Struthio camelus: one gene and its partners. Each later gene encodes a partner of the first gene's protein in a complex. Links are inferred from orthologs where the notes say so. Each region holds a gene or a part of one and is shown in the gene's direction. Other genes may lie near its edges.

What was found.
Region 2: the proteins of CDC42 (region 1) and FMNL2 are in contact, whole or in part, in a crystal structure (PDB 4YC7), measured with the Homo sapiens proteins. The link is inferred for Struthio camelus from reciprocal best matches to the Homo sapiens genes CDC42 and FMNL2. Residues at the interface, in NP_001034891.1 of Homo sapiens: Val36, Phe37, Asn39, Gln61, Glu62, Asp63, Tyr64, Asp65, Arg66, Leu67, Arg68, Pro69, Leu70, Pro73, Ser88, Glu91, Asn92, Lys94, Glu95, Lys96, Pro99, Glu100, Thr102, His103, His104, Pro106, Lys131, Asn132, Lys133; in NP_443137.2 of Homo sapiens: Ala41, Met42, Asn43, Leu44, Pro45, Lys48, Leu52, Tyr55, Lys59, Glu62, Leu63, Asp66, Gln67, Arg69, Phe70, Lys73, Tyr79, Arg108, Glu109, Ile112, Ser113, Leu114, Arg115, Thr116, Asn117, Ile119, Val122, Asp219, His222, Met226.
Region 3: the proteins of CDC42 (region 1) and ARHGAP1 are in contact, whole or in part, in a crystal structure (PDB 1GRN), measured with the Homo sapiens proteins. The link is inferred for Struthio camelus from reciprocal best matches to the Homo sapiens genes CDC42 and ARHGAP1. Residues at the interface, in NP_001034891.1 of Homo sapiens: Asp11, Gly12, Ala13, Tyr32, Val33, Pro34, Val36, Phe37, Gly60, Gln61, Glu62, Asp63, Tyr64, Arg66, Leu67, Leu70, Ser88, Glu91, Asn92, Glu95, Lys96, Asn132; in NP_004299.1 of Homo sapiens: Glu278, Gly279, Phe281, Arg282, Arg283, Ser284, Ala285, Asn286, Thr287, Gln288, Asn309, Glu310, Val316, Lys319, Arg323, Asn385, Lys386, Met387, Asn391, Val394, Val395, Pro398, Asn399, Trp402, Ala403, Lys404, Ala406, Ala407, Thr409, Leu410.
Region 4: CDC42 (region 1) and CRK share a complex: the UniProt entries of both Homo sapiens proteins name them as parts of the collagen stimulated complex. The link is inferred for Struthio camelus from reciprocal best matches to the Homo sapiens genes CDC42 and CRK.

The regions. Positions count from the first base shown.
Region 1 is NC_090962.1:12,587,266-12,594,692, reverse strand, and holds the start of CDC42 (cell division control protein 42 homolog), read left to right. Parts: upstream 1-4,420; 5' UTR 4,421-4,541; exon of another isoform or gene 4,542-4,581; intron 4,582-4,859; exon of another isoform or gene 4,860-5,085; intron 5,086-7,427. Other genes in the region: C21H1orf50 (uncharacterized protein C1orf50 homolog), read left to right, coding at 596-778. UniProt on the Homo sapiens protein: Plasma membrane-associated small GTPase which cycles between an active GTP-bound and an inactive GDP-bound state. In active state binds to a variety of effector proteins to regulate cellular responses. Involved in epithelial cell polarization processes.
Region 2 is NC_090947.1:44,704,102-44,711,778, forward strand, and holds the start of FMNL2 (formin-like protein 2), read left to right. Parts: upstream 1-4,669; 5' UTR 4,670-4,759; coding exon 4,760-4,876; intron 4,877-7,677. UniProt on the Homo sapiens protein: Plays a role in the regulation of cell morphology and cytoskeletal organization. Required in the cortical actin filament dynamics.
Region 3 is NC_090946.1:39,735,460-39,743,036, forward strand, and holds the start of ARHGAP1 (rho GTPase-activating protein 1), read left to right. Parts: upstream 1-4,568; 5' UTR 4,569-4,635; intron 4,636-7,577. Other genes in the region: ZNF408 (zinc finger protein 408), read right to left, coding at 1,054-2,969, 3,855-4,150, 4,194-4,480. UniProt on the Homo sapiens protein: GTPase activator for the Rho, Rac and Cdc42 proteins, converting them to the putatively inactive GDP-bound state. Cdc42 seems to be the preferred substrate.
Region 4 is NC_090957.1:15,834,727-15,842,034, forward strand, and holds the start of CRK (adapter molecule crk), read left to right. Parts: upstream 1-4,295; 5' UTR 4,296-4,352; coding exon 4,353-4,596; intron 4,597-7,308. UniProt on the Homo sapiens protein: Involved in cell branching and adhesion mediated by BCAR1-CRK-RAPGEF1 signaling and activation of RAP1.

The DNA.
Region 1 (7,427 bases):
CTATCCATTTTCTCACGAGTAGGTTGGACGCTCCAGAGCCAGGTCCTTAATGATGAAATGAAGGACTGTAGTGACCTCTGTGCCCTGCTGCCATCCTCAGATTATGGCTAGAAAGGCGCCACAGCTCCGTCACTAGTTGTGGGTCACTTTTCCGTTCCGTGTCCAGCTGAGACCAAAGATCTCAATCCACCTCTGGTGGGCTAGCCCGGTGTGGGCTGCCCTCCCTGAGAGAGTGGGCAGTTCCTCTGAAGTGTCCAGGTAAGAGCTCAAATGGGCGCTTGAAGCAGATTTTAATACTCTATAAAGAGAACAGAAAGCAAAGCACTGAGCCGGCTGGAGGAACTGGGCAGGGGACAGGCTGATAACCCGTCCCCAAACCTCCCCACGTCAGCAGTGCCGTAAGTCAGCCTGGTCTCGGACTCAGGATAGCTTCATCCTGTTTTTAGGTTAGAAAATGAGACAGCTGTGTGTAACTGGGACTGCCTCAACAGTGGTATGGCAATCCGGCACGGGTAGAGAGGCCAAAAGACAGCCAGCATAGCCTGGCCCCGAGGGAAACAAGAGTTGTGACGTGAATCTGTCCTCTCTCCTCCAGGAATGGGGGACCAGCCCCCACGAGTTTCTCGGCGCCTATAAGCTCCAGCACGACATGTCCTGGACTCCCTTTGAGGACATCGACAGGCGAGATGCTGAAATAAACATCCTGGACAAGCTGCTGAGCCAGCAGGCAGCGCTGCCTCCGTGTACAGAGCCCAACTTCCAGGGTCTCACCAAGTGACGTGAGCCGCCGTGACCGTACAGGACCTCTGAGCAGAGCCCCTGCGAGAGGACAGGCCGGCTGTGCCCGAACGCTGCCGAAGGCGGGGCAAGGAGAGAGATCCAGAAATGAAAACGCTGCTGCCGCCGATACTTGCGCTGTACTTTAATGAGACTAATTCCAAAATCAGCCTTACTGGATTTTCTGGTAATCGAGTAATTTCTTTCTTTGACTCGTGCCAAGCTCTAGCGAGAGGCAGATATCAGATGGAGTCAGTCCAAGAGGGCTTGGGGCAAAAAGCAAAATCACTTGACGCAGATGTGATAGCGCTATGAAATACGTCCTGCCTGTCCAGCCACGGTGTACGACTCTGCGTCTTGCGCTAGGTAATCATTTCAGGGCTGGGTTTCGGCCCTGATGAAAAAGCACATATTTAGGAAGCCCTCTGGCCGGGGAAGAGCAGTTAAAGCCCCATGCAGAAGGGTGTGTTGTGAGCTGAGCCTATGGGTCTCTCCCAACAGCGTTCAAGAGCCTGTGACTTCCATATGAGGTGCCCTGGAGCTCTCCTGGCTGGGAAGAGCATCCTCAAAAGGACCACGCAAGCTTCAGGCCCTTGGCCTGGCTGCTGAGGGTTGGAGCAGGCTGTGCGCTCTTTGAAGGACGGGTTTCCATTGGCTTCAGCGGCTGAGCTGCCAGGGAGTGACGGGGAACGTGCCGGGCCCTGCACTCTTGTTTTATGTTGAGTGTGGCTGTGGCAGAGCACTGGAAAAAATGAAATAAATCTTATCTTGATCTCACATGTACTGCCGTGACGGGCCCGGTGTCCTGTTTGCATGGCTGACGTCCCTTCTCCTGCTGTACCAGGGAGGCTCGCTGGTGTCTCTCTGTCTTGCGCCGGGTGCTGGGGAGATGCAAAGATCAGCGCTCTTGAGAAGATGCCCTCCATCCATCCAGGCATGTAGATGCCGTGGGGGTGCAGGGCTCCTTGGGGGTCTCTCTTGCTCCGGGTCTTGCCAGCAGGAGAGCAGCTCTCCCTCCAGTTTAGTTTCCCTTCAGCAGGGGACAGCCTCTCCTTCGGCTTCCAGCCTGCATGCGCTGTGGCAGGCTTTTCTTTTCTTGCCTTGTGCTTTCTCTTCCGGGTGCAAGTGCAGTCCCCCCCTCTCTGAGCTTGCCTTTGAGCTTTGCAGTTTTGCCCTCTGGCTGTTGCAAGATCAGCAAATCCTGGCTGAGGAGCTGCAAATCGCCTCCCGAACACCCGGTTTTACCGGCCGTGGCTGCCGGCAGCGCAGCTCCTCCGGCCTTCCCAGGTGAGGCAGTCATATTCACTGCAGCCTCCGCAGCCTCCACTACCTGTAACCCTGCGTTACCTAAAGGCAGATTTTTAGCTGGCAGATTTTTAGCTTTTCTGCCCCAGCGAGAGGCATGCGCCTACTCGTTCGGGATCGCTCTCTTCTGGCCCTCGCACCCCTGGCATGCCCTGGGAGTCAGGACATGCAGCCTGCTCAGCTCTCCTGGTGCCGCCTCGATGCTGGAGATGATAAAGACCATCTGTCCTGGAGCAAGTCTCATTCCTGATTTCTCGATGGGGGGCCGACTCCTATTTCATCCCACAGCCGTGTGTGCTGGGAGCCATCCTGGCTGCTTGGATCCGACCCACCAGAAGACGTCCCGGTCCTGTGGAGGGATGGGAGGTTTGAGGCTGAGCTCCCCGACAGCCCGAGCGTTTTCTTTCCTAGTTTTTTCCCCTTCCAGCTCTGCCGGATGCAGCAGCTCAGCCCCATCCTTCTCCGGTTGAGTCTTTGGTTGGCAGAAACCTGGTCCTCGGAGTTGATGCGGGACTTTTCGAGGAGGTTTTCCCAGCGCACCCCTCCCTCACTTAGAGCACTGAGCAGATAAAAAGCAACGTATTATTATTATAAGAAAGATCAGGGTATAATTAATTCCTTATCAAGTGGCAAGTGCCTAATTGGATGGGGCTTTTTCCCCCCCCTTGTTGCATAGCCCCAGGCATTATTTTACTGCATGTTATTAAATCTCAACTTGGAAGGTAGAAAGTTAATTACTGCATGGGCTTTTCCACAGTGCTAATTACAGCAGCAGCAGAGATCTCCATGTGTGCTGATTTACGCTCCTCTGGGAAGAGGTATTCCTGCCCCAGTTTTATTTCTGTGACAGCGATCGTTTTTCATCATTAAAATCCGTACGGTGACGTACACGTACGAGGGGATTGGGGTGATGCCCTTCGTAGCTGCCGAGCCTGTGATTTTACAGGCTGGCTTTTGGCCGTCTCGGCGGGCGGCCGCTTTCATCTAATCAAAAGCAAAGAGCTGGAAGGACGTCAGAAGTACCGAAAGATAAGTCAAGAGATGCTTTTACGCAGCCCGTCCTGGGGGAAAAGGGCGAGCAGGGGGCCGCTGGCAGAAAAGTGGGACGTGCCGATCTCGAGCTTCCTGCAGCGCTCGCAGCCGAGGGCCGGTTTTTGTCCCAGCGTCGCCCAGCGCCTGAACCAAACAGCGCGTGAAAACGGAGAAGCCGGCCCTGCCGAAACCACGGGAAGAGCTCCGGGGAGGATTTCCCTAGGCGTTTCCAGGCTCGCGATCTCATCCGCTCGGCTCGACCTCTGGCAAGCCGTTTCCTCGCCGCCTCTTTGGGTCGAAGGGGTAGGAAGCATCAAAAATCAGCCGGGAGGAGCGGGCGGGATACCGGTGCCAAAGGGAAGAGGCCTGAGCTGCCGGCACGCTAGGGGTTGGCCCTGTCTTGCTCCTACGCGTGCCCCCCCGCCTTTGATTTGGGCGAACGCGTGCCGCCTTCCTCGCTCCGAGGAGCAAACCCGCGGGTAAGGAGCGAACGGGGCGGCAGGCGTTGGTGACTCACGTCGGAAAACCTCGCCGAAGGTGGGCTGGGGATGTGGGTTTTTGTTTGGTTTTTTGGCACTTCTGCGAGCAAAGAAACTATCGGGCTGCGTTTCAACTTCGAAAAGGCCCTTTTCAGCCCGCCTTGTCGTCGCTGCGGGATCTGAACGAGAACGGCCCGGCGCCTACGTTTGCTGGCTCTTAGGGATGCCGCGAGCCTTGTTGCCTTCTCCTGGTCCTGAGCGGGGGGGTTTATTATTTATTCGATGGTAATAAACGGTGCTGAGAGCGCGGGAAACGTCCGTCTGATGTGATAAAACCGGTTCAGCTCTTGTCTGCAGCCTTCGTTGGATTGCACGTTTTGCAAAAGCACAGAAGCGGGGCTGGGCGCCGCAGGCTGAACCCGCCCCACGGCAGTGGTTTTCAGCCTCGCCAGATGGTTTTCGGCCGCCCCCCACCCCCGTTAGGGATTTTGCGCCGCCAGCTTCCTCCCGCTCCTTCCACGTTGCCTACTCGAGCCGCGGTGCGAGACCCGGCTTTCGGGCCGGTTTAAACGCTTTCGGGCGTTTAATTCATCTAGACAAGTTTCCTCTTTCAGCCAAAACGGCCAGGTTGCGAGTCCCGCCACCGGGCCGCGTGCACGGCGCTGCAGGCCCGGGGCCGGGGTCCTATCGCCACCAAGACCAAGCTCCGGGCCGCTCCGCTCGGCCCCGGTGCTCGGCGCTGCAGGCGGCGGCGCGCGCGCGCGCGCCCGCGGCGGGGCGGGGCGGGGCGGGGGGGCGGGGCGCCACCTCCCCCTCCGCCGGCTCGGCGGCGCCCCGCCTCCCCGCCCCGCCCCGCCCGGTGCGTGATGACGTCAGCGGCGGCGTGCCCCTGTGCCTGAACGGAGGAGACCCCGCAGCGAGCTGCCAACGCCCGGCGGAGACTCTGAGGTGAGAGAGAGCGCGCGGCGGGCCGGGCGCTGCCGCTACCGCGACACCCCCCCCCCCCCCCGGCGGACCGCCGACCCCCCCCCCGACCTCTTCCTCACCCCCCCCCCAAATCCTTTCCTCGTCCGTGCGGGCAGCACCCGCTGCCGGGCTGCGGGCCGGGCCCGGCCGTGCGGGGAACCGCCCTGCCGCCGCCCGCGGGCGGTGCGGGGGGCTCCCGGGCCGCCTCGTCTCCCCTCCCCCCCTCCCCTCAGGGCAGCGGTGGGGGGGGAGGGGCGGCCGTTGGCAACGGTCGGGCGCGAGCGCCTTTGGGGGGGGGGGAGGGGCGGCGGCGCGGAGCCGCGCGGGGTTGGGGGGGGAGGTGAAGGGAGCGCTTGTGGATAGGGGGGAACCCTCCCCGGTAAAAATAAATAAACAACGAATAAAAGCGAAGGTTGGTCCGCGCTTGTGGGGTGCAGAGGGTCGGCCCTGCCGGGAGCGAGCAGCGCTGAAGCGGTTCCCGAGATGCGGCTCGGCTGTGCCTAACGCTGGAGGTAGAGCGCAAAAAGTGAGCTGCGGCCCGGGGAGGAGTTGGGAGGCGCTCCCTGGCTTTTTGTCTCCCTGGGTGCTGGGTCATCGGTTTGCCTGCCGGCCATCCTGGGCTTGTCGTTGTAGCCGTGCCGACCGGTGTCGCTGTTTTGGCCTGGGGTGGGAAGCCAGGGTGACGGTGAGGGTCGCTGCGAGGGCGCACCCCTTCCTCCGAGTTATCAGCTCCTTGCCTGTAAACTCCTGCAACAAGTCACCTTTTCCCTCGCTGCGCTTAAAAGCGTCCTATCGTGGCTTGTTAGTAATCTCCCTCATAAGTAGGCAGGCAACCATGGGAGGACGCTAGTGTAGTCAGGTAGCGCGGAGGTAAATAACCAGCGTTGTGAAACGGGTGCTTCGTGAAGGATTGCAGAATGGCCAGAAATCGCGTTGCCTTGTCTGTGTGGCTACTGCAACCAGTAGAGCCAGAGCAGCTTTGCCCTGCTCTCTTGACAAAAGCATGGTGAAGACAAGGCCTTAATGAGGAGGCCATGTTAGATGACAACTGTGTAGGCAAAAGTAGTTCAGTCTGGCCATCTGTGGCTGTCTTTGTCTCAGGTTCATCTGCGAATGTTTCCTCGCTCTAGAAAAGGAGGTGTTAACTGTCTGTATTCCAAGTGTTAAATTGCAGTGGCCCACACGCCCTTTTCTAGAGGGGAATTAAAAACCTGGATCAAGCTTCTCCTATTGCTAATTGGAATAACTCGGCAAAGTACTTAAAGCTTGTCTCTTTCAGTTAGTAAAAGACTCTTATGTAAAAATAACTTTAGGTAGAAGGCTTTTGTATTCGGACAGCTACGTGTGGAAAGTGTGGTGTTCTGCTTTATAAAGTGCTCTTTTTTGTTAGCTTACAGTTATGGGAATGTATAGGCAAATGCATATTTGAAAGAAATCTTATGGGTATATGTAAGGCTTGAATCAATATATTGGTAACTGTAGAAACGATTCTGTGTGTTCAAACTGTTCAATTATTATATGCTTTAGTAATAATGAGGCAGAGCATTTTTAAGTCTTGGCAAGAAATAATAACTACCACTGTGCAAGATAAAACATGTTCACGGTTTGCTAGCTTGTTCTGGACAGAAATTTTAATTGTTAGATTTATGTACTTTGAACTTGGTTATTCATGATCTGTGACTGATGCTTTTAGTTAGCGCGTTATACGTCCTGCTTTGGTGGTGTTTGTTGGCCTGAAAATGATGGCTGATTTGGGGAAGTTTAGTGTATTTGCAGTGTTAATATAGAAGTGTTCTGTAAATCCTACCGTGTCGGAGTACCCAAAAGGGGAACTGTAGATCTACTAAAAGAACAACGGTAAATGGAAATGGAGTACATCTGAAGCTCCTAGGGATTTCCCTGATGAGTGTGCAACTGTGATTTTCTTAACTTTCCTGTAAAACATGTGCAAGGTCGCTGTTGAATGCAGCACTAAGTAGACCTGCAGTCCTAGTATAAAAGTTCCTTTTGGTTGAAACGCAGCTGTAGTACTAAAATAAATCTCAAAGGCTTGTGAGCATAGACAAATAGACATTTAGTTAAAGCTTTTTCAACAGCTGTCTGTTGCACCAGAAATTTCAAAGTTCATTGAAATTATTGGTATAGTTGAGTCGCAATGCTCCTTCTGGGAACTCATACTGAAACATGCATCACTGCAGTTTAGATATGTGTGTAACCCGTTTTGCTCTAGAATGTGAGTGTTCACAGCTTTTAAAAAATATCTGAACTTCTGCATTTTAGCCCCCTCTTTCCTCTGCCTGCCTCTTGTGGTCAGACAAACTTTCACTGTGTCGTTAAGCTAGATCTTACGGTTTTTCAGTGTCCCTAGCTTCTGCAGTAGCAGGCTTTGTGAAGAAATTGCAAGGGGATGTTGTTATCCTCACTTTTGAGGCTTAATTCCCCCTGGGGAAAGTAGAATACTTCTTTTTGTACAAGATTAGGGTGCTGCCAAATTAAATGGGTGTGAAATTGATTTTTAGTACGCCAGGTAGCAAGAAACCCTTCTTACCCACTTAGCGTACTGCAGGCTTCTAGCTTGGCTCCTGTCACCTCTCTATGTTAAACACATGACAAAAAAAAATTTAAGTATTTAATATATGACAAATAACTTCTTGACAAGGTAAGTTTTTATGCTGAGGCTTTAAAGAAATTTAAAGTAGGTAGACTTCAGAAAGTTGTCCTCGTTTAACGAGGTGGACATCAAGCTTCCTTTAAGCTCTGTTGGAAGCTCATACGTAACATTAGCTAAGGACATCCATCAGAAAAGATTGCTGCTGGAATTGGTATATGAGACATTTTTGCAGAGTATTTCAGAGGGCTAAAACTTGA
Region 2 (7,677 bases), on another chromosome or scaffold:
GTGCAAGCCAAAGAATCCAGTTTAACCTGCAATTAGCCTAACCTTGCACAGGTACATGCGGCTAGCGGCGGCTACCCGCTCCTAAATGTCATCTTTCATCTAGAGGGACTTAAAAATGCTGTGAGGTTTTCCCCTGCATTCAGAAAGCTGCAGCTCTGGAGGTGCCTCCATAGCGTGAGTTATTGACTGGGCAAATGCTAGGACTCTTTATAGCGGAGTTAGTTTGTTCTGGTCCTAGGTAATTAATAGTCTCCCTGTACTTAAAAAACAAAATAAAGCAAACCTAAACCAGTCTCGAAGCACCTAGTGATGGATCTGCAAAACCCAGAACTGCAAGACCCAGAAGCCCCATTGCTGCTTCACTCTGAGGGAGCCGATGATCCTCGGGAGCGTGGGGGGTGCCTGTCAGAGGGTCAGCCTTGCTGGTCCTGGGTAGTTCATGGTTCATCTCTGCCTGAACTCCACAGGAATCCTTCCATGTGATATTTTTTCCAAAAATTTCCCCTGGAAACTCAGTCTGCTCAGAGCATATGCAGCATGTGAAAGTGCACAAAACAGCTGGAGGAGGAGGTACAGTATTTGGCTTCATATAAATGAATAGTTTGTTCAGCAATTAATGTCTTAAACAGTCCATCTGGTTGTCAGCCAGAAGCATGCGCAGTGCATGGAGCAGTCCATTCCTCTGACAGCTGTGGGACTGGTGAGTGGGGCCGGGCCGGCAGCAGCAACCAGCACAGCCACAGCCAGTGGTGGCCAAGCAGACCCATCCTGACGCTGGGAAGCCGAGCCAGCGTGCCGGGCCAGCGGCTGGGCGCTGTGTTGCGGGTGAAGGCTGAGGCGTGAGCTTGCACGGCGATGTGCCTCTTGGGTCCATCTTGTAGCAGCCTGATCCCAAGTTACAAGTTTACCACATCAGAGCAGACCTCGAGCACAGGCAGCCAAACCCTGAGGTCCCGAGAGCCTGCTGGCACCCCCAGCCCTGACAGCCCCTCCAGAGGCCTCCAGTCCAACCTGCTGTTGGTTGTTGTGTCAGACCACATCGGCTGTGGCTTCAGCTACAAGGCCAGGAAACCTTCAGGGACAGCAGTCCCGCAGCCTCGCCGGATAACATCTCCAGCGCTGCAGTGCTCTCCTGGTAAAGAACTTCTTCCTTCTTCAAAGGAACTTCAAAACGGAGGCTGGCCTTTAGTTGGTTTTGCAAGTTGCTAGTTTGCTGGTTGCCCCCTTATTACCCAGTGACTCTGTGGTCAGCTCCAGCCAAGATGAAAAGACTGCATTCAGTTCCCTCCTCTTCCCTATGGGATTCAAGCCTACATGTTATGTCTGTCAAGGGCAAACTTTATTTGCTCTCTCATCTCTGTATTTCAAAAGTATTCTATTGTTAAAGTCTTACTCTGCCTGAAAACGGGAAGCAGTACGTGTGGCTTAAAGTCTGGTGCCTGAAGAATTCCCTGGAGGAGGTGGAGAAGCGTGGACGGAGGATTTGCCCTGCCTCGGTGACCGCTGTCTGTATCAAGCATTCTTGCAATGAACTATACAGTCACTGGGCAGCCGGTAGTGACACCCAGGCCTCTTTTATAAAGCTACCTCGCACCTTTCACTTTCCCCTACGTAATATAGGGCAAATAACCTGCTTACCATTGTTGGTGAGGACGTTGCTACTCTGCAGCACGAGTACTGGGAGCAGTGACTGCTTCACAAAACAGGCTGATCTACTGCTAAAAAAATCAGGTATCCATGGTTAGAAACTGTCTTCCACGGCCCTGTACTCTGACCCTCATCTGTTATCTGTGATAGTCTAATGCTCCATTATCTCACAGGCGTGTTGTGATGCTTAATTAACTAATTAATCTTTCAGAGAATTTTGATACTCTTAGATAGAAGATGTCAGGGAAAGTATCTATTAGTGTTTCCTTAATTACTAACAATAACATTGTTATTAACTCCTAAGAACGGCCTATGGTTTTAAAACTTATTTTATGAAGGCTATCAGAAGTATTTTTAGGCTTTTAACCAAACAGCCTTAGGAAATTTCGATCTATCCGTCGGATAACAACATTTCTAACAGCGCCACACTTTTAAATCCCATGCTCTGACGCTAGCAGAGTGTAAATTTGCACATTTAATGATGTCATTCATGATTCTGGGTCAAATTCTGCCACACTCTGTGGGCAATGTAACCAGTTGAGATGTACGTCAGGATAAAATGTGTCACTTACAATCCTATTAGTGGATATATCATTAAAGTCTCTTGTAATGAGAAAAAAGGATGAGCACATTTAATTAGTAGTGGTTTTAGAGAATATACGCAGAAATGCTCACTTTTATTTCAGTTTTGAATAGGAGATTATGCATATTGCAGCACGTGACTTTCGATGTATTGTTTCTGTGGCAGCTTTTAAAGTTGTGCCTCTAGCAAAATCATTATCCTAGATAAGATAAATTTAAAAATGCTCATTATCTAAACCGTAATGCCTCTCTTATTTTTTTTTTTTTTTTACAAATTAATCTCCATGTGGATCGTTACGATCTCCTACCAGGCGAAGGCAAAAACGCTCCATCACTCTAGTAGATATTCATTGATCTGGCAAAACCCCATTGTTGAATGTGCTGGTAATAATATGAGTCAAACAGTACTTTTAAGGAATGACTGTAACAGCTTTTGAAGAAATGAGTTTGACATTGCTACTGTTTACTATTGACTTCCAGCTAACATTAGTAAGAGGTAACTCACTGAGTAGTCTGATTCATGAGTTTGACTGAATTTCCTGAAGTAGCCTGCAGCAAAATGCAGAACTTCATAGCTGACCACTGAAAGTGTTAAACGATGTTTGTAATTTTATTTATAATTCTGAGAGGGCACCGTGTTCTGCACCATGGGGACGCACGTGCGCACCCACGCACTGTAAGGCCAAGCGGGGCAAAGCAGCACACAGCAGTAACAGGACACGTAATAAACGTTGAATGGCGGGAGAAATAGCAGTAAGTGTATCATCACGAAGGTGAAAGCTGAGTGAAAAATCGTTCTTCTTTGGAAGGATAATCGAATGCTAATATAAAAGAGAGGAATACGGATTGGCAGGTGGGTCACAGAAGAAGAACTAGGTCTTAGACTGGAGAATTAAACAGATATAAATCACTAACGCAGCATAGTCACCAAATGGGTCAATACTACCTTTCGCTGAGTTGCAGGATTTTCCTCAAAACCCAAGGACGGTACTGTGCCGCTCGGTTTGGCGTTTGTAACAGAGAAGGATGGGGGAAAAGGGGGCCACCTCTAAGAAACTCCCCCGGCTGAAGGGTTAACGAAGTCTAGGTTTGACGGTCACAACACTTAAAACACAGTAGTGGAGAGAGCTGGCAGGAAATTATTAAAAAAAAAAAAAAGGAAAATAGCATCTGAAGAAAAAGAGAACTCGACATGCTTGAGAGAAAGAGGGTTTGCGTGATTACACAGAGGTTGCACTGTCGCAAGTTGCACTGCGAGGCAGAAAGCTTGGCAACGACTCGAGACAAGCAAGCCTCCAAAGGCAGCATCTTTTAACCCAAACAGTGACATCCGTTCAGAAATTAAGCCCTGCTCCCGTCGTCCCTGCGCCCTGTAGCCCACACGCCGAAGACAAAACACTCGGGGGAGAGGGGGGCCCGCGCTGCCTCCAAACTGCGCCCTCGCTCAGGGCGTCTCTCCCCTGCCGGCCAGCGCGCCTAAAATGGACGCTGAGGGGGCGCGGAGGCGCGCGGAGCCCCCTCAGGGGGCCGCTCCTCCCCCCGCGCGGAGCCCCCTCACACGGCAGCGCTCCCCTCACGGGGCGGCCCCTCCCCCCGCGCGGAGCCCCCTCACGGAGCCGCGCTCCCCTCACGGGGCCGCTCCTCCCCCCGCGCGCAGCCCCCTCACGGGGCCGCGCTCCCCTCGCGGGGCGGCCCCTCCCCCCGCGCGCAGCCCCCTCACGGGGCCGCTCCTCCCCCCGCGCGCAGCCCCCTCACGGGGCCGCGCTCCCCTCACGGGGCCGCTCCTCCCCCCGCGCGGAGCCCCCTCACGGGGCCGCGCTCCCCTCGCGGGGCGGCCCCTCCCCCCGCGCGCAGCCCCCTCACGGGGCCGCTCCTCCCCCCGCGCGCAGCCCCCTCACGGGGCCGCGCTCCCCTCGCGGGGCGGCCCCTCCCCCCGCGCGCAGCCCCCTCACGGGGCCGCTCCTCCCCCCGCGCGCAGCCCCCTCACGGGGCCGCGCTCCCCTCACGGGGCCGCTCCTCCCCCCGCGCGCAGCCCCCTCACGGCGTAGCGCTCCCCTCACGAGCGGCCCTTTCCCGCCCGCGTGCGGAGCCCCCTCGAGGCGCGGCCCCTCCCCCCGCGCGCAGCCCCCTCACGGGGCAGCGCTCCCCTCACGAGCGGCCCCTCCCCCCCCCCTCGGCGCGGCCCCTTCCCGCCGGCGAGGACGCGGCGGCCCCCGGCGGGACTACGAGTCCCATCTGGCCGCGGGGCGGGGAGGGGAGGCGCGGCCGGGCGCGGCGAGGCAAGGCGGGCGGAGCGGGGCTTTGTGCGGGCCGCGGCGGCCGCGGGGCGGCATGCGGGGGAGCCGCCGCGGTGCCGGAGCGAGCCCGCCCCGGGTGGGAGGGCGAGGGCGGCGAGCCATGACGGCTGTGCGCCGTCGGTGCTAGAGGGCGACCGCGGGGCGCGCAGCCCGCCTCGCTCGGCGGCGCGGCGGAGCGGAGCGCGCAGGCAGCGCGGAGGGTCGCGGCCGCCGCCGCTGCCGCCGCCGCCGCCATGGGCAACGCGGGGAGCGTGGACGCGCAGCAGACGGAGTTCCGGGCGCACAGCGTGCCCCTCAAGCTGCCCATGCCCGAGCCCGGCGAGCTGGAGGAGCGCTTCGCCGTCGTCCTGGTGAGTGCCGGCCCCCGCCGCCCCCCAACGGCCGCCGCGCTGCCGGGTCCGCGCCTCTGCCCCCCGGCCCGCTGCGCGTTGGGGGGCGGAGGAGGCGGAACGACGCCTCCAAGTGCCTGGAAATGGGGAGGTGTGTGTGGGGGGGAAAGTTGGGTTTGGGTGCGGCGCTGCCTGCCGGCCCGCTCGTCCGCCGCCTTTAAATGCCCCGTGGCCGCCCGGGCGGGGGGGGGGGGGGCTCGGTGGGGAGCGGGCGGGCGGGCACCTGGCGGGGAGGGGGGGGGAAGGCTGTCGTGGCCGCCGAGGAGAAGCAGCCTTTGTCTGGGAAGTCACCGAAAGAATCGCGTTGCGCTTGAGCTGCCTCGGTTTGCCCCGCGCTCACGTTTTTCCCGGCATCGGTGGGTGCCGGGGGTTTGATCTTCGACGGCCGGAGCGCGCGGTGGGCTGAGCCGGCGAGGCCGCGGGCCGCCCCCCTCGCCCCTCTCTCCGCTGCCCTGCCTCTCTCCTGGCTCCTAGACAGCGGAGCCTGTCTCCCGGGGGAGTGTGTGCAGGCAGGGGCCCCGACCGTTTCAGTCCGTTTTGGGGGGGTTTGCAGCGAAAAGGAAAAGAAGCAATGAATCTCTGCCTGAGGCGTGATATGGCCAGGCACACAAACGACATGTACGTGCGTTCGTGTTATCGCGCGCTGTGCTGGTTTTGGCTGTAGGCATTTCTGTTGGAGTTTGATACCCTATCTATTTATCTATATGTATAGATATATATATATATTTTTTTCCCCTTCACCTGAATAGCACAAAGTACTCAGGATTAGAAATCAAGTTCCTCGGACAGTTTTCAAGGAAAGGGCGGTACTTCTCTTGGTACCGTACAGTAGTGCTTGGGGCAAAAGTCCTGTTTTGTTTCCGAAGTTTAAATAGTTTGACTAGGCTATAACAATCCATGTATTCTTCTATGTAGTTCTTACGTTTGAACAATATTTACGTGAAAAACAGAAGCTGGGGAGGAATGAATAAAACACATGTGCACGCCATACCCTGAGTTCACTGTAACATCATGTGAAACTCAGTGATACTAACTATTATAACAGTAATTCCCATAATAGATGTTAGATAGATATCTAGATCTAGATATTAGATTTCAAAATCCCCTGGCTTCTGGAAATACTCCTAGTGCTGAGTGAGGATTCTCCGAGTCAAATCGGTATGTGTTTAGGATTATTTCTGGTTAGACCCAATTAGATTATCATGTCTAAGAAAAGAATAAGCCTATTCAATTGGGAGCCCCCACTGATGAACCAAATGGTAAGATGTTATGATTATTAGGCATAGTGAAAAAGCCTAATTTTTGTCCTTCATTTATTGGTGAAATCTGTAGACCCTTTACTGACAGGGGAGATATCCCTATGTGCAGTGCTTCGGTCAGAATCAAGTCAATTCATCTTTCCGTACCAAAAGGACGTCCAACTTAATCTGCGGGCACGGTCTGTAGAAGAAAAACAGTGCTTTTGAATTAGGACCAGTTGAATTAGATCAGTAAAAGGAAGGGACACCATTTGGAAAACAGAGTGTGTTAGACGCATATAATGCAAGCGTCTGGGATAAGAAATTACAGGCTTGTTCCTCTTAAAGTACTTGAAAGGAGGAGATAGCAACTCTTTTTAGAAGATGGACTTAAATTAAGGGTTTAGGGACCAGTCCTATAGCTTTTACTCTGGGGACTGGCAGCCGGTGCAGGCTCATATCTAAAAATGGTCTGTTGGATGCCTGGTCCGCTCCTTTGAGAAGGAGCTGCAAGATGGGGCTCAAATGCCACAATTGGAACAGCACGAAAACAACTGCCTTTAGCCTCTTCTTGAAGCCAGCCAGGGATGGCTGGTATTTGTTGTAGCTTCCAGGAAACATTTGACCAGTTTATGAAAGAATAAACTACAAGGCTGTGATTACTGTGTTTTCTCTGCAGCTCTGAGGGAAGATGGCAGTACTGCTGGTTAGACCGTAGAATTGCTGTTCTATGGCCTACCCAGAGATTAATGAGAAAGGAATGGCAGTCCTGGGGGGAGGGGGAAGAGTATTTTCTGTAGGAAGAGAGGTTTTGTCAGGAAACGAGAATATGAAAAAAGAGGTTTGTAGGAAAAAATCTCACCTTCTTTACATGCTGTCTTAAGGAAACAGTCTAAAATAACCCTTCCTTGAATAGAGTGCCCCAATGAGATCCTAAAGGGCCTTGCTGGCAGTAGTGATTTTCTTACCATTAATGAATTTTCCAAAACTGTTTTTGAAGTTGATGAACGTGCTGCTCAGTCAAGTTGCTGCCACATGCGTGTATACAGTCATTGCATTAAACAGTTCGTCTCCGTTTGTATATATAAACCGTGGGGCCATGTGGGCAAGATTTCTTCTGTGTGGCCTCAAGAAAGTATCTTAAAAGTTTCGTTCTTCTCTCCTTGTGGCTCACTATGCTGTTTTACGCAGACAAGCACTCTAAAACACGCTTATGTCCATGGCTAAGGCACAGGATGGTCAAGTTTTTACCATAAGTGCCGTAACACTGACTTTTATCCTTATGTTTTTTCCACTTTGAACATACTCTCCTAATCTTCTCAAACAGCTCTGTGGCCTCTTCATCAGAGGGATGAACAGTGGTGCACCTAGGACCGTGTGGAGTTGATGCATGGGTGCAGCTGGCATTTGTTGAACTGTTAACAGCCTCAGTTTTGAAAAAGGCCTCTGATGAAGTAGTTTGTCCACTTTAAACACATGTAGTCGTCTTGCTGCCTCCTTGGTTAGCCTCATTCTTGAGATTTG
Region 3 (7,577 bases), on another chromosome or scaffold:
CTGGAACTGTGCACTTCCCGCCTGAAAAAGGATCAATTTCATTCAGGATGGCTCGGGTGGCAAATGAGCACTCTGTCATGAAGATGGGAAGGTGGGAAAACTGGAGTTTAGTTGTGGTGGTGCTGTCTTTTAGCTTTTGGGGCAGGGGCAAGGGAGAAGTGGAAGAGAAGAAGCAAGAGTGCAAGAAAAAGAACAAGGGCAAACAGATGAGAAAAAAGAAACCTAACTTGAATGTGGAGGGGAAAGGCAAAATCTCCTGAGCATACTGAAATGAACTGTCTGTCTCAGCTGGGGACACCAAAAATTGCACTGTCCAATGCTACTATTACTGTGAGAAATGAAGCTATCCTTTAATGTCCTCAGGCATACCATCCAGTTACTATACTTCCTACAGCAAGCGTTGCAGGTGACAGTGGAGAAGAACACTCAGCCCTGGCTATAAGGCCAGGCTTTGCTTCTGTTGATTGTGAAAAATGCTTTTCAAAAAACCCGCACACAGACACCTTGCAAACACTTTGAAAGCTGCTTCCCAGCAAAATCTGGCGTTTAGCATCACCTGCAAAGGCTCAGAAATACTGCCGAGTTTCAGAGTAAAAGCCCAGGCAAGTAAAAGTAGTTGAATAGCAGCAGTCAAGCAGGAACAGAAAAATTTGAAAGGAAGGGGTTGTCCAAAGCTGCTGCTTTCAGACTCGTCCCTGCCTTCTGCATACATTCACTGTCACTCACTGACAACCTAAGAAGAGACAGAGTAGGGGCACTGCTCATTATAGCTGTGGGCTTTCCTCTTTAAAAAGCCTTTCCCATCATCAGCAAATGCCCTCCCTGCACCAGTCCCAGCAAGTGGCACATGTAGGCCCGTACCTAGGAGGGATGGCTGCCAAAAAGACCCAGGTCTACAAGGCTATTTACTTTCAAGGCCACTAATTTTGCCTGGGGCTGAGCCACAGGGTCTTGTTGTCAGAGAGAGATGACACAGCTAGTTTTCGTTGTTGTTTCTTTACCCTATTTTAATATTCCATACTGAATGTGATCAGCCAGGACAGGCTGGGGTAGTCAGAGCCCAGTCTCGACCTCCACCACCTCCGCCACTGCTCCAAAGCCCACCCCCTCCTGGATGATGACCATGTCGCTTGGTGAGCCCTCATCCTGCACAATAATGCACTTGTCGTCATGCTCAGAGATGGTAATTTCAATGATGTCCTTGGTTGACGGCAAATGCCCAGCAGGCCTCCTGTGTGCCCCAGGATCCAACGGGCTGCCTTGGGACTGGTAAGTAGCAATGCAGTGACCACTGGCTGTGATCAGCAGCTCTGCCTCATTTGCTGTCCCTGGCACCTCCACCATGAGCAAGGTGGGTTCTGCCATCTCCTCCTCCTGGTGGCCTTTCCTCTGAGGCCTTTTCTGCGCTGCCTGAGGCAGGTCTGCGTTGAGGGAGGCCACTGCAGTAGCCAGTTCCTCCGGGTCCTTTTCTGCCTTGTGGGTGAGCACATGGCGTGCAAGGCTCTGAGGAAGGGTGTAGCCCATGCCACAGAGTTCACATTTGTAGGGCTTGTCAGCCAGGTGGGATTTCTGGTGGCGGCGCAGCTTGGTGGCCAGGGTATAGGACTTACCACACTGCTCACAGCGGAAGGGGCGTTCACCTGTGTGTAAGCGCTCGTGGGCACGCAGTGTGTGGGGGTCCCGCAGCGCCTTGCCACACACTGTGCATAGGTGGGCCTCACCTGTGTGGGAGATGAGATGGCGCCGCAGTTCTGGCAGCTTGGGGAAGGCATCGCCACAGAAGCGGCACTTGTAGGGTTTCTCGCCTGTGTGCAGCCGGAGGTGCTCACGCAGGTTGCTCTGCTGTCGGAAGTCCTTGCTGCAGTAGGGACAGGCATAAGGGCGCTCCCCGGTGTGCAGGCGCATGTGGTTGCGCAAGGAGCCGGGGTTGGCCAGGTAGCGTCCGCAGATGGCACACTGGCAGCCCTTAGCACCAACTGGGCTAGGCCCAGTGGCCAGGTGGATCTTCCTGTGAATGCGGAGAGAGGGCCGGCGTGCAAAGGCCTTGCCACACTGTTCACAGGAGAAGGGGCGCTGGCCCGTGTGCAGGACCTGGTGCTCCTGCAAGTCTCGTTTTGTGCGGTAAGCCTTGTCACACTGGGTGCACTGGAAAGGCCGCACACCCCGGTGGGCCAACACATGGGCCTTGAAGCTCTCTTCTGAGCTGTAGCTCTTGCCACACTCTGTGCACAGGAAGGGCTTGTGGCCAGCGTGGACGAAGCGGTGCTTCTTGAGGTGGCAGAGCTGCAGGAAAGCTTTGCCACATTCCCCACAGCGGTACCTGCGCTTGCCAACAATCTCCCTCTGGGACAGAGCTTCTGCTGGGAGGCCTGTGCTGCCAGAACGAGCCTCCTCCAGCTTTGCATACTCCTTCTCCTCAGGCCCATCTGGTGGGCCCTTTTCTCCATTCTCTAGGGATGCCAGTTTGGAGTCTGTGGAAGCTTTTCTCTCTTTCTTGCAGGTCTCTGTGTTCTCTCCTTCAGATGGAGTGGGCTGCTGGGTTTCCTGCCCAGCTCTCATGCCACCATAGTCCTGCAGGCACTTCTGGAGCTGAGCGGTCAGAGCATGCACCTTGCATGGCTTGCTAGCCAAGTGAGCACTGAGTCCAACCCCACTTGAGGGCAACAACAGGTGCAGGTCTCCTGGACTTGCCTCTCCCTGCCCCATTTCTGCCTTTTCTGCCGTGGTTCTGGGATCTACAGCGTTGCCCGATTCTTCCTTGCACCTGCTATTGGCTTTAGTGGCTGAGATGGTCTTGAGGTGCTGGTTCTCAGTCCTCAGCATTTTGGCTTGCCACAGCTCATGCTGAGGACTTGTGCTTTCCTCTTCTTGCAGCCTGTGGAGATGTTTGGCTGGCAGCCTCCTAACCTCAGTAGGGACATCGAGGACTGCGGTTTCATCAGTTACCACCTTGGAGATATCAGGATACCCTGCACAACACAGAAGTATGGGGGTGAATTAATGCTGGCTGTTGTCGGATAACACGATTGCTGCTGGATCAGAGGAGCAAGAACCTCAGAAAGAGACACTCTGCTATCCAATAGTCTTGGGGCTCTAGAATGAAAACCATCACTTCTATGACTTTTTTTTTCAACTGGGGAAAGTGGGGGGAATCTCTATCCCCTCACCACAGACAGTACCAGTGCTAAAGACTAAAACATTATGGCGTTTTCCTTTCTTGGCTGGTACTTCCTGATCTGATGCAGAGTCAGGACAAAAGTCTTGGAGGGATGCAGGGTTAGCATGGCAGAAGCCAGTTCAAAAGCAGCACCACATTTGTGGGAGTCTCAAATATGGGTAAGAAATGCCAGGAAAGCATTGCTCAAACTTGAAGGGCATATGGATTCTTGTAACCATACTGTGTGAGGGAACAGATGAGGGGGCAGCCACCTCCCACCGGAGACATTGAGGAAAACACCCTAAACACCCTGAATGAGGACAGTTCCCCAGGGGAAATTTCTCCATACCAAGCTTAGTGAGAGGAAGTTATCTGGCTCATCTTTATGTTTATCCTACCACTGTGCAGATACCATGGGTAATATCCTTCCTTCTGACAGCAAACCCATGTTTCTGAGAGGAAAGGCAGCTTTGCTACCCACTTGCTTGGGAAGTGGGAGCTGTCTAGGCCAAAAAAAAAGGCCTTCCGATTATCTCCTGAGGATTTAAGATCTTGGAGGACAGTGTAATGCTGGTGCAGGCTCACTGTGAGCTCTGAAGTAGCCCGGTCACGAGCAGTCTCGGGCCCGGGAAGACCAGACCGCCTCCGCCTGACCTTCCCGCCGAGGCCGGGACACCGGTCCTTCGAAAGGACGTACCTGCGGCGGGTTCAGCCGCCTTCCCCCGGGGAGAGGCCCCTTCCCTTTGCACCACGGTCTCCACCTCCGCCGCCACGGCCGCCGCAGCCAGCTGCCCCCTCGGCTTCGCCTCCCGGGGGACGGCCGTGCCCTGGGGCCGGCCCGGCGGCCTCCTCCCCTCCGCCGCGGCCCCCTCGGGCCAGTAGAGCAGCTCGACGCCCGCCGCGATGGGCCGCCGGGCCCGGACGTGCAGCCGGCCGCCCACCCGCACCAGCGCCACGTTGGCCTCCTCCTCCTTCGCGCTCGGCTTCAGCAGGCTGCAAAGGCACGGCCGCACCGGCGGCGCCCCGCCGTACTCACCTGCTCCAGCCGGGCCCCTCGGCGGCGGCCGCCGGCCCCAGGAGCGCCCCGGCCGCCAGCGCCCGGCCCACGCACCACACGCCCGTGCCCCGCTCCCGCGCCCCCGACGGCCCCAGCGCCAGCCCGGCCGGCAGGCTCCGCAGCGCCGCGCCGGCCGCCTCCCCGCCCCGCGCGTCGCCCTCCGGCCCCGGCCCCGGCCCGCCGCCCGCGGGTCCCAGCAGGCGCGCCGGGCCGGGGCCGGAGCCGGAGCCGGGGCCGGGGCCCGGGCGGCGGCGGCGGCGCTGCATGCCCGGCGGAACGGCGCGAGGGGGCGGCGGGCGCGCCCGGACGGCTTCCCGCGGCGCGCGGGGCGGGCGCGTTCCCGTGGCGACGGGCCGCGCTTCCGGCGGGCGGCGGATGCTGGCGGGGCGGCGGGCGGCGGCGGCGGCGCGCGGGCCGGCAGGTACCGGCGGCGGCCGAGCTCCGGGGCCGCGGCGGCGGGAGCCGGGCGGCACCGCCCGGGCGGGGGGAGCGGAGCGGAGCCCTCCGCGCAGGGGCGGCGGCGGGGCCCGGCTGTCCGCGCGGGGCCCGAGGCCTCCGCTGGCGCTGCCGGGCCGGGGCCGGGGCCGGGGCCGGGGCCGGGGCCGGGGCCGGGCGGCTCGGGCGGGGGCGCTGCTCGCCGGCCGGCCGCCGGAGCCCCCCGGGGGCTTCCTGAAGGGAAGGTCGCCGCCGCGGGGAGGGTCGCGCCGGCTGCCGCTTCTCGCTGCCCCCTGTGGCGCGCTGAGGGCGGCGGGACTCGGAGGGGAAAACTGCGTTGGGGCAAAACGTCCGAGGGGCTGGTCCGTGGTGCAGCAGCTGGGTTGTGAAAAGCAAGGCTCAAAGGCCGGGAAAGTTTTTCGTAACTTTTTTTTTGCGCTTGGCACGATCTAAGTAACTGCTGAGGTTGGCGCGCGGCAGTTGCGCTTGGTCGGGCTCTAGAGCCGGCTGCTTGCTCGCCCAGCTCCAGCAGCAGCCCAGTGGCTGGTGATCGCCGCAGACAGTGTGCGAAAGCCGCAGCAGGGCCCTGGGGGCTGACGGGCCGTCCGCTTTGGTGCCTAACAGCCTGGCTTTTTAAATGTCCCTCCTGATATTACTGTGTAGTTGGCATGTGTTTTCAGAACTTTTTTCCTTTCTTTTTTTTTTTAAACTATGTAAATAGCTAACCCGCCTTTGAGTCTGTTCTTTGAATCTGGGCTTTCATAGAAGCTCAGTCATAGCAGATCCGAGAGGATCAGACTTACGGCAGAGGGGAGGAGGAAAGGCACAGTCTGTCCTTAGGGCTGTGTGTGCCCTTGTTTCCTCAAGTGCAGCCACACTGCTTGTGTAAGAGGTGGGTCCCGAGTAGCACTGATAACAACCGGTGGAGCTTGTGCTGGGGCTCTGACCGAGGAAGCTGAGCTCAGCTCTTTTGCTGTCTTGCTGGTTTGTTTGCAGGGTTGGAGGAGGTTGATTGCTAGTCAGGCTGAATTTCTAGTGGGCACGGGGGTGGCTTTCAGCTAAGTGTTTGGGATGACTGGGGAAGGAATGCTACTGGTTTAAGAAGCTGTTACAGTAATGAAGGACCAAATTTATTCCAGAAGCAATAGCTTCTTGAGTTATCTGGTCGTTAGGGAGCCAGACAGAGGCAGCCCGGCTGTTGACTCTCTGACTACTTCAGGGGAGTGGTGCTCTCAGTGGTATGATCAGTTTTGGTGGGAGGCAGGACTTGCGCAGGACTTTCTCAGCGATTCCTTCAGTCCTGGGCCTTGTTCACGCAGAGCCTGCGTACTTGGAAGATGTGCTGCTAAGCAACTGGTTGCTTTTCTTGCAGTGGGGAGAGGAGCCCTTCTGTGGGGCTGAGCCGTGCCTAATTTGAGTTTTACTTCTGATGTTGACTCCTGATGTTCTTACTTCTAGGGTGTTGCTACTGAACATAGGCTAATTCTGTGTTTGATATTAAGACTGTAGTGAACTGCAGGGACTTGGCTGGTGTGCCACGAAAACCAGACATCTGTGCAAATTAACCTAAACTGGGAAGGGGCAGATGACAGCAGAGTCAGAAAAATAATACAACAGCCCCAGAATGTGGATTGCTCTTGGGTCTGAGCATTGCTTGTTAATAAGTCAAGGGAGAAGAAACCACTTGACTTTTGTAATTCTTTGTTGCTTGTAAATATGTGTACAGGGCATGCTAATACAGGGATGGATATGTTTTGATGTAGATTTGTATGTAGATTTACTTCTGAATTAGTAGTACATCCAGAGGAAAAACAGGAAACGGAAACTGCAGAGTAGGTATAGCTGAGACATGAGTAGCAAAAGGAGTAGCAAAACTGGAATTGCAAAAAGAAGGAAAGTCTGTGTGAGCAGCAGCTACCAAGACTTCATAGACACAGGTGGGCCGTCTTCCCTGGCTGGATTCTGTTGAGATTTGTGTAAGGAGGAGTCTCCAGCCCAGAACTTGGGTAAAAACTATATTTTAAAAGCCTGAGGTTTCTCGCCTTTAACAGAACATGCTGTTCTACAGCACATCTCTCTGCTACTGAGAAAGCCAATTCTTATTAGAAAGCAAAGCACATGCTTAGCAAATGTTCAGGTAAACCAGTATAGGTGCAGAAACCATACTTAAACACTTGGAAAAAAGGAAGTAGTTTAGATCCTAGCAGTAAATGCTTCTGATGTCAAATATGATTCTTTAGTTTTTAAATGTTTGACTATGCTTTTTACTTTTTACATCTAGATATATCATTTTTCTTGCCTTATGACTGGCTAATACAGGGCGTGTAATTTACGTCTTGCCATTATGCTTAACTAAAGCAAGCAGAGAACTTAAATTGTGTTGCGTGTTTAATCAAATGCTGTTCTTGAACAACTGTTTCATCCTTACACTGAGAAAGGGTGGACTTTCTTTTCAGTGACAGGTTCTGCTTATAGGTCGCATTTGAGTAGACAGGGAAAAATCTCATGCGGCTGCACTCTGTCAGGAAATAAAATGGATTCCCTTATGCTAAGGCCCTCAATTAGTTTCTTGCATCCTGCCTCTCAGGTCCGGGTCTCTCTTTCTCAGTGTCTGCCTATTGCTAGGCAGTTCGAGGATACTATTTCTCTAAAATGCTCAAAGGTTATCTCATGTGAGACCCTGTACTTTTTTGTTTTGCACTATTGGGAAAGTGGTGGGGGAAGCTCTGTGAAAAGCCTTCTAGAGCTCTCTGAGAGCTAGAGACTGGGTCACAGGAAGAACAAAAATTCCAAGAGCTCTTCTGCTCTGGATCCCTCTTCAGTTAATGTTTCTGTCCTGAAACCTAGAGCCAAAGAATAGAGCTGCCTGCCTGCCTGCCTGCCTGCGAAAAGCATGTGGGCATATCTGGGGAGCCTGGTCTGCCTGTC
Region 4 (7,308 bases), on another chromosome or scaffold:
ACGGCCCGCTCTGGTGCGCCTCAGCGCCATAGAGACGCGGTGAGAGGGCGGCTCCGCGGGTCCTCCAGCGTTACGGATCGGCAGAGGGCTAAAGCGGCCATTTTCCCCACAGACAGCTGCTCGCCGCGGCCCTGACCTCGGGGCGCTGAGGGAAGGGCGAAGGGAGGCAGGCGCGCCGCCTTCCTCCAGCCCTCAATGGCGTCGCTTGCAGCTGATACCCCTGAGTGGATTTTTCTGTTGTGAATTTGCTGAGATTTTGAATGCCTGCCCCGCCTTGGGCAGCACTGAACGTCTGAGTGTGAGGAGCAGGCCTTGGATCCGTGGGATCCTTTCACATGAGCCGCTGCGCCGCCATGTGCTCTCCTATGTCTGGAAAATTAGAGCAAAGCAGAAAAGTCGTAGGGAAAAGAATACATGCTGTACAGAGAAATACAGAATGAGATGGAGGGGATGGGTTGTAAGGTCCAGACCTTGTCAGCGCAGGCTCTGCTTTCTACAATGACTTTTATAATGATCTGACTCCTTAAAATGTTAGTGTGTTTTTTTTTTTTCTCCGCTCCCCTCTGTTCTATAGGAAGGTCCTTCTGGATTTCTACACATCTGATGAAAGAAATCTAATTTCCAGCTTAAAAGTTATTCATGGCAAGTCTCTAGCCTATTGTTCTTGGGCTGAGTTTGGGCTATTTTAACAGAAAAGTCCTAGCTCTTCTTGGCCTTCCTTTCACTGGGCTAAGTCACACTGTTTGGATCCATTATCATGAAACAAATTCTTCATTCCTCTAATTATCCTAATCTCTGTAGTTCAGCTATATCTTCCCTGGACACAGCAGACCAGAACTGTGTTTTAGCTGAGGGCTCGCTAGGGCTTTAGTCAATGGCATCAGCGCTTCCCCTCCGCGGCGAGACACCGCAGTTGATATATTCCACCGTGGCAGCTGCGTTTTGTCAGCTGCATCACATCTGCAGCTCACAGTCACTTTAAACTAACCTGCTCAGGTTACACATCCACCTTGGTTGTCACATCCAGCCAATTTCAGTAGAAATTCCTCATATTTCTTGGGCTGCTCCATTCCTCAATTTTGTACAATTTCTGACCAAAACCCTCAAAATTATCCCCTGTGATATGTCGCCTTTCCTTTGATTTGATAGTACTTCCCAGTAAATTTCAGTAGCCAATTTTGACTTTTCCAGCGTGGTGTGGAGAGATTTTGTAGCTGGCAACGTAAAGGCTCCTGCCCTTATACGTACTCCAGTGGGACCAATATTTTTTCTCACTACAAGTCACACCTTCCAGGCTTACTATTTTTAACAGTCTCTGTGTAGAAGTCCTTACACAACAGCTAATGTCAGCTGCACTCCTCAGCGTGCTATATTTGGTGCTGACATCATGTAGCTAGTATCTGGCAAGAACCACAGAAACATGATACTTCCAAACCAGATGTGAACAGTTATGGCAGAGACCAAACACACATACGTAACATGGACATGTGAGTAGTAAATAGGACATAAACAGCTGATGAAATTCTGGAATGAGTGCAAGAGGAAACACATCTCTGTGGCAGAAATGCTATTTCTCCAGAACATGGTCCACCAAAAGGTGGACCTCTTCCTCCTCTTAGTTTTCATTCTGTAAGTAGAAACAGTATTGGCATCTGTGATCTAGAGCAGATTTATGGTTAGGATGGGGTTATGTGACCCCAGGTTCTCTAGCATTGCAGTTATTAGAGCAGATGAAGCCTTCAGTTAGCCCAGGTATTTCCTTAATTTTATTTTAACATCCTTGAAAGCAAGAACATTTCTACTGATTAACTGTGGTTTTAGATCAGTTGCTGAAGTTTTAATGCTCCTTAGGAAAATTCATCTCTAGGCGGACTGGCAGGGACAGTGAAATCAAGTTTAGCTGCACTGAGAGAGGAAAACCACGCAGTTAAGGAGAGCTCGCACTGGTAGCATTTTTGCTCTCAGGTAGGTCAATGGAATCTTCTCTTGGTATCTTACAACTTCTTTCAGAATCTTGTTTAAATTTTTAACAGTGAATTCTTCAGAATTACAAACTGATCTAGTTTTATTCTTCTGAAACTGTGGCCAAGAACTCTGTTGTTCCTTCCCATTCATCTCAGGCTGCAATCCTCTGCCTTTGAAAGGCCAGCACAGGAATGCAGGTTTGGGCATAAGGGCTCCGCCTTTATCGTAGCTTTTGTTCAGAAAGGATGGGTCAATGGTAGTAAACCACTGCAGAGTGGAGGGCTTACATAAGTGCTACATACGGAAGGGAAGAGGGGAAGAGGAATTTGGGAAAGGTTACCTGGAGAAGCCCTGAGTAAGCAAAGGAAACGTGACAAATAATGAGGGTCAGAGAGTGACTCAGAGTTAGAAATCATCCTGGCACAAAAACGGCAAAAGGAGCTGCTTTCATCGGGAGTTTCACTCATTTCCCCATCACTGACCACCAGAGGGAACTCTTGCAATAAGATTCCCAACGGCTTGCAGTAGGGAAAGCCAAACCATGCATGTAAACCTCCTCCATCTCCTGTAGTTTCGTGGTTCAGCTCAAAACAGAGGGTGATGGGGTACAAGGGTGGGGACCGGGAAGGGAGATAAAGCAGCAGTTTGCGGGCCCTCAGTCAAAAGCGGTCTTTTTTACAGTGGTCTGGCAGGAGTCAGAAAAATGAAGAAGTTTGCCATTTTAAGAGTTTTTTGTTTTTCGTTTTTTTTTTTTTGGACTGTGAACCACTGGACAGAATGGACACTTTTTTGCTACAGTGATTTAACTCTCCTAGATTATTTGGCTCTCAACAAGAAACTGCGGCTGCAGCTTTCCAAATTTGTGACTAACTTGGGCATGGAACTGCCAAAGACAGGTAATTCTGCAGCTGGCTAGCAAACTCCACATGTCAGTAGGGGGAATTGAGCTCTGGGTTCCACATGGATGGTGACTGTCTCCTACCTACTGTCAATCTGGAGAGAGAACAGGATCAGCAGGGGAAGGATGTTCCTTTGTTAAACTATTGCCAAAGCGGATAGATATCCAGCACCTCGTGTCTTCTTATGGATTTGGTGAACAACAGTTTCCCACCTGTAAGACACAGGATATATTTTCTCGCTAGGATATTTTGAGGGTTAATATGATCCTAGTTACCTGATTTATGCCAAAGTCCCATCTGTAAGATAGTTACAAGGCTTCAAAGTGCCCTACAAGAAAGAAGAGGTTCAGTCAGCCAGGCTTGAGGACAGCACCATCACAGTTAAGGACAGCTGTACTCCAACGTGGTATTTATGCAAGTGCTGCCACATGGAGGCCACACAGTTGAAAAAGCACATTCCTTTCTGGAAAAAGCTCACAGAACTGAGCAGAGCTGGAAAAGAATTCAATAGACATCTATCCAGGCTCTACAGACATTCCTCTGGAACTTAAGAGAGACCTTGGAGAATAATCTAGAAATCTAAATTTGTGCATGCCCACATACACGTTTCTCTGTGGCAGGCCCCTGCAGTAACAGAGTCAGTGAACTGATCTGGGTAAAAATAACCTTTTTCTTTTGCAGGCCTGTTTTTAACAGCTCACTGGCCCAGTTCAGCACGTAGCCTCATGAAAACAGCTTGTGCTGGCACAACCCTTGGCTGGGGGGGAAGCTGAGGGCAGGAGCTACTGCTGCCGGTACACCCCCGGAAGAAAGGGCACATGGAGCTGCACCCTTTGCCGGCCCATCCTGAGCGCAGACAAGCCTGGCCTCACACGAATTACCAGAGGGAGCTGCGGGCCCCCGTAGCTGGGAAGCCATCAGGGAACTGCACAGGCAGGGGGCTATCCTGCAGCCTCGTAACGGGAGGAGCCGGCCGCAGAGGCAAGCCCCGGCTGCCCTCCCGCCTCCCCGGGGCCCTGCTCCCGCCGGCCCTGAGGGAGTCGGCGCCAAGCGGCTGGGAGAGCGGCGGCCGGGCGGCGAGGAGAGGCGAGCCCTGGCGGGGGTCGCTGCTGCGCTCGGGTACCCCGAGGGGGTCATCCCGGTGGCGAGCAGCCCTCGCCGGTGTCCGTACACCGACGCGGGCGAGCCGGGGTCGCCAGGCCCGCCCCGACCGCCGCCATGTCCCCAGTTCGCCTCAGAGCCCGACCCCCCCTCCCTACGGCGCATGCGCCTCCCCCTCCCCCTCCCGCTCCTGTCCCCGCGCGGAAAGATGACGCCACGCCTGCCCCGCGTCTCCCGCGTGCGGTCACATCCGGTAGGTGAGGTCAGGGCAGGGGCCGCCATTTTGGGTGGCAGGGCTGGGCTGGGCGCGGAGCGGGGCACGGCGGGCGGCGGCGGCAGCCCGCGGGGGGGAGGGGAGCGAGCGCGGCCTGCGGGCGGGCGGCCCCCATGGCCGGGCAGTTCGACTCCGAGGACCGGGCGAGCTGGTACTGGGGGCGGCTGAGCCGGGCCGAGGCGGTGTCGCTGCTGCAGGGGCAGCGCCACGGGACCTTCCTGGTGCGCGACTCGGGCACCATCCCCGGCGACTTCGTGCTCTCGGTGTCCGAGAGCTCCCGCGTCTCGCACTACATCGTGAACAGCCTGGGGCCGGCGGGCGGCCGGCGGGCCGGCGGCGAGGGCCCTGGGGCCCCGGGTGAGTGACCCCCAGGGCTGGCAGTGCCCCCCAGCCCCTGCCGTGCCGGGGAGGGCGGCCTCCCTCCCCCCGGCCTGCGCCTCCCCCTAGGGGCCCCGCGTCCCTCCCCAGCGCTGCTTCCAGCCGTGAAGCTCTTTGTAGAGGAATTAAGTCGCGTTTTGCCGCTGGGGCTGGTGGCCGAGCTGAGGCGTTTGTCCGCACCAGCCTTAAACGACCTGATAACGTAGTTAAGCTTAACACGGGGACTGTGCGCTCCTTGCAGCCCTCCTGAAAGATCCGATGGCTTTAGTGCTCGCCTGTGCTTTTGTTTTCATAAAACTGCTAGCGGTAATTGATAGACGGTGCATGCCATCTCTGGGGGCCTGGGGACCCTTCTGTGGATATGTCACCTGAAAGAGCTGATTTCTAGCGAGGTGCTTCTGCGTTAGAAGACAGACTTCGAGGCTTACTTTCAAGTTGTAAATCAAAGTGTTTGTTGGGTAGTTCAAGTAGTGGGAAATCCTGAGGAACATAAAGGCAATTTTTCCTTTAAATCAGATGCCAAGAGAGAAAAAAAAAACTTCACATCTTTTGAAAAGGAGGGTTGATATTGTTCCTCATCACCGTAAGATCTAATATGAAAGAAAAGTGTTTAAATGCAACACCTATAGAACAGAAGATACTATTTGTGTCAGAGGGAAAAATGGATCATTAGAGCAATTCTGAAAGTATAGACATAACTAAATGAATGAGAGTCCCCAGTGGTGCTTGATCCTTAGATGTATAAGTGAGAATGTTGAGTTAAAAGGTAGCAGTGTCCCTGCTGGGGGCATTACTGAATGCGTTACTAAAACTACCCAAGTTTCGATTTTAATGCTTACAAGATGATGTGGGCATATCATCTAGCATCTCAGGAAGGAGCTACTATAAAGTTTTGAAGTCTGGGAGACCTGCTACATGATAAGAGATCTGGCTAACTTATTTGCAGGAAAGTAAACTTAGCATATGGATTGCTACAGAGCCCACCACTTTCTGATGTAGGTATTTGTGTCTGGAATAATAGACCTGTATTGGGAAGATGCAGCAATATCTGCTGTAGGAGGATTTTTCGGTCTTTGCATGGACTTCAGCTGACTATGGAGGAGTCAACCTAAGAAGAAGCAAGCCTGTTGCCAGTAGGTTTGCACCATTATACAGTGATCTCCCCTGCTCAGGGGAACGTTTAAAATTGGCCAATTTGGAAAATCCTGAAGGCATTGCGTTATCCTAGGAACCTGTCATTGCTGCCAAGCGCACCCCAAACACGAAAAGCTTCACAAGGTAGAAGTTAAAGGTGGCTGAATTCAGCTGGAAGTAAAGTGGAAATCATTACCTCCGTGGGAAGTTAAATATTTTGCCAGAATACATGGTGAATTCCTCATTGCTTGATGTCGGTCAGGACAGAGATTTTTTGTTGTCATAGGTTTACGGAGGCTTGATGCAGGAATTACTGTGCAAAATGCAGGATTGGTGTTAGGTAGAACACAGGAAGTTACCAGGATACTCCTCTGTGGAATCCAGTCTAATAGGATTGTGGAGATGGTAGTGAAGAAGGACCCTGTGGAGTATGAGTGCCAGTCACTTTGCTGGGCTGCTGTCTTTTACAGAGCAACTCTTCTCTGGAAAAACCGTATTTTTCATGTAGTTAAGTGCATATTCTAGCTACTGTGATACTGCTTTAGTAAATAGCTGTTCCAACTTTTTTATCTTACACTACGTTCTTAACCTCAGTAATGTTTTGTGGTATTCGTTGGACTGGTTCATGTTATGAGTGTTTTTAAATTTATTGTGTTTTGGTGTTTTGTTTTCTTTTTAGTCACTAAATGTCCCATAGGTAGTTATTTTCTGTCTTAAGTGTTTGTCTGTGTTAGAAGGGTAGGTGCTATTGCAGCTGTGTAGGCTGTTGGCATAGTAGGGTTAATCTATAGCAAAAATCAGTACATCTTGGTTGTCCTTGTATTTTTATTTTTTTCCTGGATGTTATGAGTATAGCTGAGGCACCGCTCCTGCGCTACAGATATTTCTGTGCTGAAGTTTTAGTGATTTTAAATTGTGCCTTTGTGCTGAAGTTGCTGTCTTCTCACTCTGAAAGCAAAGAAACAATGCTGGCAGAATTAAAAAAAATAGATTTCCTTTCAGAAAAACGTAGGTGGAGGGGGGGATGTTCTGGAATGGGAGGGAGATGGAACCGTTGGTAGAAGATTCAAGAGGATTTCGTACTTGGATAGGGAAGGTAATGCAATAAAACAAGGTAAATGTTTGCAAATTGTCATATTTATTTATTTATTGTGATCAAGTTATTTTCATTATTGTCATAATTGTCTCTATAGTATAACTTTCTTAGCAACTGATTGTATTTGAAAAATGCACACCTCTCACTGAGAAATCTAAATATGCCAGATCAGGTTATTACAATGATTTCTGTTAGTCTCAGTTAAGCAGGTGTGTGATTCATGAGTGCTTGAAGTTTGCTGTGTGCAGATTATACCAGGAACGTAGCTTCAATACAGAATGAATGAGATGAGGAGCTTTGTCTTCCCTAATATAAAAAGCCTTAGAGTTTCACAAAAATGAAATATCTTCCATTTCTGAAGTATTAAAAAAAACAAAACCCTTATTTTCTTAAATCCAGCTTTTGCCTGATATGCTACAGTTTCTAACTTTGTGCAGTCAGTTTTTCAGCATGAGGAAAAT